2 linked regions of the Schizosaccharomyces pombe genome follow. Changing the gene in region 1 together with any one later gene gives a genetic interaction. Each region holds a gene or a part of one and is shown in the gene's direction. Other genes may lie near its edges.

The links.
Region 2: mutations in pof15 (region 1) and cwf28 together harm fitness more than expected from each alone (negative genetic interaction), as found in Schizosaccharomyces pombe (one large-scale study listed by BioGRID).

Annotation. Positions count from the first base shown.
Region 1 is NC_003424.3:1,888,454-1,892,947, forward strand, and holds pof15 (F-box protein), read left to right. Parts: upstream 1-2,069; 5' UTR 2,070-2,466; coding exon 2,467-3,198; 3' UTR 3,199-3,637; downstream 3,638-4,494. Other genes in the region: SPOM_SPAPB1A10.13 (uncharacterized protein), read left to right, coding at 1-821; Arv1-like family protein Arv1, read left to right, coding at 4,101-4,187, 4,473-4,494. UniProt on the Schizosaccharomyces pombe protein: Probable substrate recognition component of a SCF (SKP1-CUL1-F-box protein) E3 ubiquitin-protein ligase complex that mediates the ubiquitination and subsequent proteasomal degradation of target proteins.
Region 2 is NC_003423.3:3,990,872-3,994,858, reverse strand, and holds cwf28 (splicing factor Cwf28), read left to right. Parts: upstream 1-1,873; 5' UTR 1,874-2,021; coding exon 2,022-3,167; 3' UTR 3,168-3,247; downstream 3,248-3,987. Other genes in the region: signal recognition particle receptor alpha subunit Srp101, read right to left, coding at 1-1,023, 1,202-1,402; fes1 (Hsp70 nucleotide exchange factor), read right to left, coding at 3,329-3,987. UniProt on the Schizosaccharomyces pombe protein: Involved in spliceosome maturation and the first step of pre-mRNA splicing.

The DNA of each region.
Region 1 (4,494 bases):
ATGTAAAGCCAGCGGCTGGTACGGTGAAGAATGTTATGCAAGCCTTTCTTCAGCCCGCTACTCCTGCCAAAGACACTGCATCAAAGGAACCATCCAAATCATCCCAACAGCCAGTACGCACAAAGCCACGAATTGCTCAGTCACCCTTTCTTGCCCAGGATGCCAAAGAAAATGGTGGCAATGTTGAAGTCTCATCCCCCTTGTCCTTCTCCGCCTCCAAGTCGCCTGCTGCTGTAGACTCCTCCACAAAGACACCCACTGAACAAGTTAATGTTGTATCAAAACAAGCCCCCACCACCTCTTCCACATCGGTGATTTCCCCAGATCCCCTCCAGACCGCTGCACCATCGGCAAATGTGAATGAGGTCATCGCCAGTTTAGAGAGTAAGGTTGTTACTCGACGCACTGGATCAGGTAACAATTATCGAGTGGGGTTACGAAATGTGTCTGGTAGTGAAAGGACAAAGTCGTTAAGCAAGGAATCACCAGTGGAGCCGGAAAAACCTGCACTACCGGATGCTACCTCGAGCTCAACACCAACTACCGAAAACAAAGAATCTTGGACTAACCAAGGCATCAAGTCTAGTCAACAACGTTCGGCAAATGCATCTCCTGCTACTTCCCCTTCTAATCAAGCATCCATCCATGCATCGTTTACGAAAGAATCGAGTACACACTCTTCTCCCTCCTTTACCTTGGAATCCTTGTTTTCTGGTGCTCCACGGGTCGTCGAGTTGACGAGGTTTTCTCAACCCAGCCCTGCTTGCAGCCGTGCTTTGTTGGCACGGTGGAAGGAGGAATACAGAACGTCTATACATTGAGCGAACCCGTCTACGGCCGTGCATGTGTTTGCTTAATGGAACTAGAAGACAAGGATGGGTGGACGGGTCAACCGAATTGCCTTTGCTTATGTTAGATAGAATTCTACCCTAATGTGCGCACGTTGATAGTTAAAGTCGTTTATACTACATTGTAGAAAATGTACATTGACTGCACCAAAACTCGGCTACCGTTCCTAAGTCGATGGTGCTGATTTTTATTTTGTTGTTGTATTGTATGTTCTGCATTCTCCTAATTTATGCTCTGCTTTAATTATTGTTAATTTTTTTTTCCTTAAAAACTTCCTTCCTATATTATTCTATTTCGCACGACATTCATTTTTGAACAACATTCTACCTTTATACGACACTATAGGATCCAATTCTTCTAACGTTGTACTAGTGTTTTATGTTTTTGTGCTTCTCATTTTTATGTTTTGTACATTGTTTTCTAAGTTAGTTATTCTAATGTTGCATTGTACATCTCATTCTTTCCCTATAATTAATTGCCTTGATAATCCTTTTACTTTCTCCTACTTGAGTACTAGCGCAATGCTGTTTACAACTCTACTCGACATTGTTTTTTAACGTTGTACTGTAGCCCACTACATCTGCGGTTTGTTTACAGGACTGTTGTATAACGAGTAGTTATTGTTGCTGTTACATTGCCATAGATTTCAGTAACTTGAGTTTTTCCGCAAGTACCCTTATGAGTGCATTGCTTTTTTTTTGTCCAAGACCTTACCGGCAGTTCCCTGGTAACGAGGCCTGAGGCAAAACCCCTTCTGTCAAAACAGTAGAGTGGAGCAGTAACTGCTTTTAATAGGAGTCTTTGTATCATCCAGATCTGGACTTGTGGTACAGAACATTTGGCAGAAGTTGGTGGTGGTAATAAAACAAGAAGTTTGAAAACAAAAAAAAAAAAAAAAAATGATTTTCGTAAGTCGTTTAAAGAAAAGTGAAAAGTGTTTTTTCTTTATACTGCACTCGTTGGTCAAGTGAATGAACTAACTTTTTCCTGCGCTTAACTATTTACCAATCTCCACTCTTCAAAGTAGCAAGATCCATTCGCGCCATTTTTAGTTGATCCGGTTTGATGGAATAACTGCTTGGCGCTCGTTCATTCGTTCTTTAAGGTTCAAAATGGACATTTTTATTTCAACTCTAATTACGATATCGGCAGTTGGGAGAGGAGGCAAAAGGCCAAATTTTTAGTTTATAAAAAGGAGCATCTCCTTTCATCTATTCTGCAGAAACCAAGGCTTGTATTGTGAGACGTAAAGCGTTCAATTGCAAGGTTTCCCCATTGCTAGTCTCGTTGACAGTCATTCCTTGGCTTTAGAAAAAGAAGTTTGCTTATTTACTTTTTTCACTAATTTTGGAATTCCGTCTTTTTGAGCTACTTGTTTGTTTAGACATTTTAATTCTTTAATTGTTTACAATTTACTGTCTTTTTTCCTTCATAATAGAAACGCATATCGAGGTTTGAATAGGTCGAAATAGAAATATTTTGTTTTGTTAATCGTCCATCATCTCATTTCATTCACATTCCATCGATCGGTGCTATATTCTCTTTATTTATTCAGCTTAATTGCCCGATTTTTTTTTTAAATTATTTCTTACCTTTTTTTTTTTGGTTTGGTAAAAAATGAGCTGTGTTACTAGAGCCCCCATGTCTGTACCCCAGACTGCCCTTCAACCTAATTCCTACGTTAATTTCGACGCTCAACAAACATCTTCTACTCTGCTTCCAGTAGAAGTCATTGACTCGGTCATGCAGTATTTACCTGCACACGACGTTATCCAGTCTAGCTTCGCCAGTTATCCATTGACTTTGATTGCCAACAAGATCATTCGTGCTCGTCTTTCCTTCTTAGACGAATATTCACTTCGCGTTTTTGCAAAGGATGTCTATACCGATTCACCGATTTGCAACTTGTCTGCCCGTCGCGGTTTGTATTCTTTACAATATGATGGTTATTCGGTATTCCACTTGGATCCTAACAATTGCTCCTCTATTTTTCAAATCTCCTTTGAGGACGACGAGGATCTAGCTTCTTTTGAACGATACCCTGGGGAGTTTCTTGCTCCCCATATCAATGTTCGAATTCACGTTACCTTGTCTCGTTCTTCCTGCGATCGTCATCAAGCCGATATATTTTCTTGCTTTCAAGATCCTATTCGTGTCCGCCGGGATTGGCTTGATTCGATAAAACCCGGTCAACCTGAAACACTTTGGTTTGATCAAAACACTCAACATGTCATCGGTCTAATTGTTACAAGAGTTGATGCTGCTCCTGGAAAGTATGATCTTTCTGTTACATCTGTTATTGTTCAAACGGAGTACCTTTTATCTTGCCTCGAGAAAAGAGTACATTAAAAAAGAACTTTTTCCATTCTGCATTGTTTAATATTCTATTATTTAATTCTCATGAGACAATCATGATTGCGTTCCGTTTTCTTTTAATGTTTATTTTCGTTGCTTGACAAGCCTGTGTCGCTCACGACTTCTTTGTTTGACATTTTGTACTTATTATTCTTTTAATTAAAAATTTAATTTACCTGTGATGTATGTTTTGCTGTGTTAATACATCCTGGTTTCTCATTTAATAAATGCGTTTATACATTTTACGCAGTCGACTGGTTTTTTTTTTCAGCGTTGTTTTAATTTCATTCAGCATTTGGCTTCATGTACAAAATTTATTTCTTAACATTTTTTTTCTAATAAACTTTTTTTTGTTGTACTGAAAAGTAAAAACCTACCTTTTTTTAAATTGCTCAATCAATTGAATGTTGTTTTCACGTTTCTCATTTCTACGAATATTTTAGCCTTTGTAAAATCTTTTTAATAGACGCTTAATCTTGTAAATGTGACTAAGTCTATACTACGTTCTTTCGCTCCAGTCAGTCTGCATTGTTTTGAGAGTTAGTGATTTTATGCTGGAATCGACGTGGTTATTTCGCAAATCTTTTAAATATGTAGTGAAAGCAGTATTTGTTTATATTATTGAAGAACTGTAAAATTTAGGTTTGACATTGGTGGTTTTTTGGCTTTACAACTCGTCTGTTAACGGAATTGGGTAGTGTTCAAATAAAATTTAAAATTGGTAGAACTCTGGGATAAGTTTTAGTATTTATGTTTCTATGCAAATAAAGATAAGCTTACTTGTTTCATTTTTTCTTTAAATTCTATATATCTTCATTGTTTTTACATGTCAACCAAGAATACGAATGTTTGGTTCATAAACATACCTCAATACATTGACACCACCACCCGTCACCATGAAATGCGTCGAATGCGGCGCGGAAGTCGATTCTTTATACACATATTATGGAAGGGGTACCAGTAATATTCGACTAGCTCAATGCGTAAGTAATATACACACAATATGTTTCGTTGATGTAGTCAACTTGATCGTAAGGAGCTAAGGGCAAGTCCATTCCAACGGCGACGAAAAGAAGCTTCATGAATATTTTTCTCTTCAAATATAATTTACATTATTGTAAGCAAATGACGATCATTCAATTTTTGTCTCCATTTATCTTGCTTAATGAATACTGAGAGTGGAATGCGTAGTCTTGCTGTAATCGTTAAGATCGACTTGTTCTTTAGTTTTTTTTAAGTACAATTTCAAACTAACGACTATGTTACAGAAAAACTGCAAACAGTTTGCGG
Region 2 (3,987 bases), on another chromosome or scaffold:
TGCAAATAATTCAATGGAGCTACCCTTCAAACTTTGGAGATTTTTCACATGTACTCCGAGTTGTTCAATTGCACCCGAGCGAAAAGTATCGCAGGCAGCAACTAAGATTCGAAAGTTGTTAGATAAAAGCCAATACGCTATTTTAGCCAATGTTGTAGATTTTCCAACACCATTGACGCCAATGAGAGAAATGGTATACGGACGGTTTTCGTTTTTGCGTACAGAACGAATACTATGCAAAAGGTCCAAAGATGTACTTGGGGTGAGTATTTGAGTAAGCCTATCCCGAAAGGCCTTGTTTACTGTGTTTTTCACAGTATCAAACGAACCAACTTTTTTGTTTATCAACGAAGCCTTCACAGATTCACAAAGCTCCAGAGCTATAGAATTTGCGACATTCTTTTTTGTTAAATGTTCTTGCATTTGCTTTAAAATTGGACTAAGATCCTCCTCCTTCAAGTATTTCCCACCTATTAAGTTGGAGAAAAGGGAAAACGCAGAAGATGCAGATTTATTGGAAATTGTTTGATTGGGATCCATTTCCAAATCACTTATAATAACATCACCACTACCAGTCTTTTGAAACTTATTATTATTACCCACAATAGAAGAAAGTTGGGAATTATCGACTGTTTGGGAAGCAGAAGATGCTTGACTAGAATAGTTCAATGCAGCCTGTTCTTCCTCAGTTATTTGATCATCCCATTTTCTGAGTTGCTTCTTTCCTTTTTTAGGGGCATTTGTTTGCTTGGATTGAGCGCCTTTTTTCTTCATTTCATATTCATTTTTCTTTCTTGCTGAGTTATCATTATTAGCCTCAACAGGTAAAGATTTCGTGTCTGTTTCATTCTCCAGTTGTGCTGATTTACGATTAAAAATGGGAGCGAACAGTTTTTCAACTTCTGCTTCATTAGGAACTTGACGATCTTCTAATTTTTCTTTAAATAGATTCAGAAATATATTATGAGCACTATTAAGCAGTGATTGAGAATATGCCATACATTTCAAATCTTGAAACACAACCTAAAAATTCAACCGCGTTAATTAAGTTCAAATGACACGATAAAGGTATGGCTTTGACTTTGACAAATAATAGAAAATCAAAGATAAAGTATAAACAAAAAAATTTTTGGACCTCATTTTGGGTGTATAGTAATTGACAATTTCTGTCAAAGCACAAATCACAATATATTAAACTTACCACAAAAACTATGCTATATTGTGTAGCCTCTTGATACTGCATGGTGTACCGATCAAATGTTACGGTGTTGTTCACCGTTCTTTGCTCACTTAAGAAAGCTTCGTGAAATAAAACTTGAAGGCATTTCAAATTAACAAGAGAATTTGTTTTTTTCCAAAGTACTATGCCTCCTTTATTAACTATCGCAAACAAGTCAATCATTCCAGGCTCAATCACAAATGGCTTTAAAAGTAGTAAACTACTCACCAACTAAGAAGGAGTGTTCTTGATTAAACACATTGCTCACTGCCGTACAATACATAATAACGCACTATACCAAATCTATGGTGCTAATTGAGTTAAGCTATTTGCTTAAACATATTTTTCTTAACGTATTTTAAAGATTACCTTAAAACTTGTTGTATGCAATATTATACAAGGATAGATGCAATTTGAGACTAAAGGTTGATATTAACAGTAGGCTTTCGTTTCAACCAAAATTGTTTATACTTTTATATTAATAAAAAATGCCACTAAATAAAAAAGCTATTTTTTTACTGCTATTTGAAGGTGCGTTTTAAGTAAGGGAGAAATGAGCATGAATTCTGTAATCCAAATAAAGAGGTAAAGGGAGCACACACTATTCCATGTCTGGGCAACGAAAAATTCCTGAAAAGCTTCACAACTCTCATTGTACGAATGTGATTATTCTCAAGACTATTTTCACTGTAATTTTAAACTTTCCTTCCTACTTATAATCTGGCCGATTTTTGCCATTTTATTTTTTTTGTTCATTGTAATACGCTTAGTCGCAAACAAGTGAGTTATCATAATAACTCTGATGAAGCGAAAAGCCGTATTAGAAGCATTCAGCGATTCTGAGGATGAAGATGAAAAAAAATTAAAAGGTCCTCAACTTATTACTGGATTTAGCGCTGAAGAGGGAGTTCATTATCAGAATGAAACTATTCAGCGCATACACGAAAAGAAAAGAGCGCCAAAGATAATCCACATTGCAAGTGATGAGAACTGGATGGAAAAAAGAAAAGCCAGGTTTAAAAAAAAAGAAACAGAAGTTCATGAGAAACCTTCACAATTGCCAGATAGCGGCTTAAATTATGGTCTAAATATTCGGGTGGCTTCTTCATCAGCAGCGGATAATGAAATTGTGGACTGGAAGGCAAATAATTCAAATGAAAAGGCTCAAAATAAGATAGCCACAAATAAAGAAAGTACTGATATTCTTCCTGAAGAAGTCCAACTTGTCCTTAATGATTTAAATGACGATGTTAAAAGTGCTAATTCTGCCAACTTACAGCCGATTACCACTAATGTTGTTAACGAGAAAGATGCATATAGAAAAGACATTGACGAGCTTCCGGAGCCTTCTAATATGAAAGATTACTCGGAAATTCCGGTTGAAGAATTTGGCGCCGCCATGCTTCGAGGAATGGGTTGGAATGGTCAATTATCTTCTAAAGATGCTTTTGATGTTAATCAAAGGCCGACGTTTTTGGGTATGGGAGCCAAGCCTGTGGATTCCGAACTTACTGAGCTGGATATTTGGAAAAATCCAAAAAAGACTATGTTTCTTCCTGTTAAGCCTCTAGAATCAAATTCCGCTCTGAATTCACAAAACGAACATACTGAAGTACAGAAGAAGTCAAATTCCATTGACAACTTAACTCCCAGTTCAGAACTATTCAGAAAAAGAAGCCGAGATAACAACCTCTCAAGAGAGTCTTCAGTGAGCAGTAAACATTTAGATTATAATTCACGAAATTACAACAAACGCGATAGAGATCCAGACAGAACTAAGTATCGCGAATACCATTCGGAGCGCCGGAAACAACATCGAACAGACCGTTATTCAGATGATTACTATCAAGGAAGGAGTTATTCATATAAAAAACGTTCTCATAGAAGCGATAGATATACTGAGAGAGAAAATCCAGATAGAAGTTACAGAAGTACTCGTACACTTTAATGAATTTACGATTATCTTACTTTTTAAGTACCACAGTTACTAGAGTATCCTTTCCAAATAACCAAAAAATTGTTTATCAGTCATAAACGAAATAAAACATCTCATTATATTGCTCCGTAGTCCACATGAATAATAAAAATAGTAATCGAAGCTTTCAACCTTTATTCAAGAGCTTCGTGAAATGCTTTCCATTCATCGACGGTGAAAATTTCAGGAAACTCTGACTTAAATTGTACGAGCGACTTTAATAACTCGTTAGTATTTGCGACAGACACTTTATTTTTCTGGAATAAATAAAGTGTATGAAGAGATTTGGTAACACAATCCTCATCGACAGAATGTTCAAGACTGAATTGATAAACTTTTTCTGGAATCTGAAATTCGTGTGCCTTTTGAAGAATAATTTGTTTTGATTTATCTTCTTGAATAAGTAATGCATAGAAAAAAAAGATAACTCGTTTTGTCATAACCGAGTGTTTAAGCTCCAAGATTTCAATCAGCATTTCCCAAGAGTTTGGGATTTTATCTAATAAAGCAATTCCAGCTTCGTTAAGTTTAAGCTCACTAGTTATTGCATAAAGGACTTTATTTTTTGTTTCATCCGAATCCTCTTTTTTTAGGGCGCCGAAGAGAATCTTCAATCCATCATTTTCTATAAGCGCTTGTTGAGATTTAGGATTATTTTGAACGGCAGTTGCGATCGTCCAAGCAGCTAATCTGCGCAAGGTAGATTCCGGACTCTCAAGCTGTTTCAATAGGCGAGGCCACAATTGCAGGGGAACCAAATTATTTGCATTGTCAATATGCTCTACGAGCATTT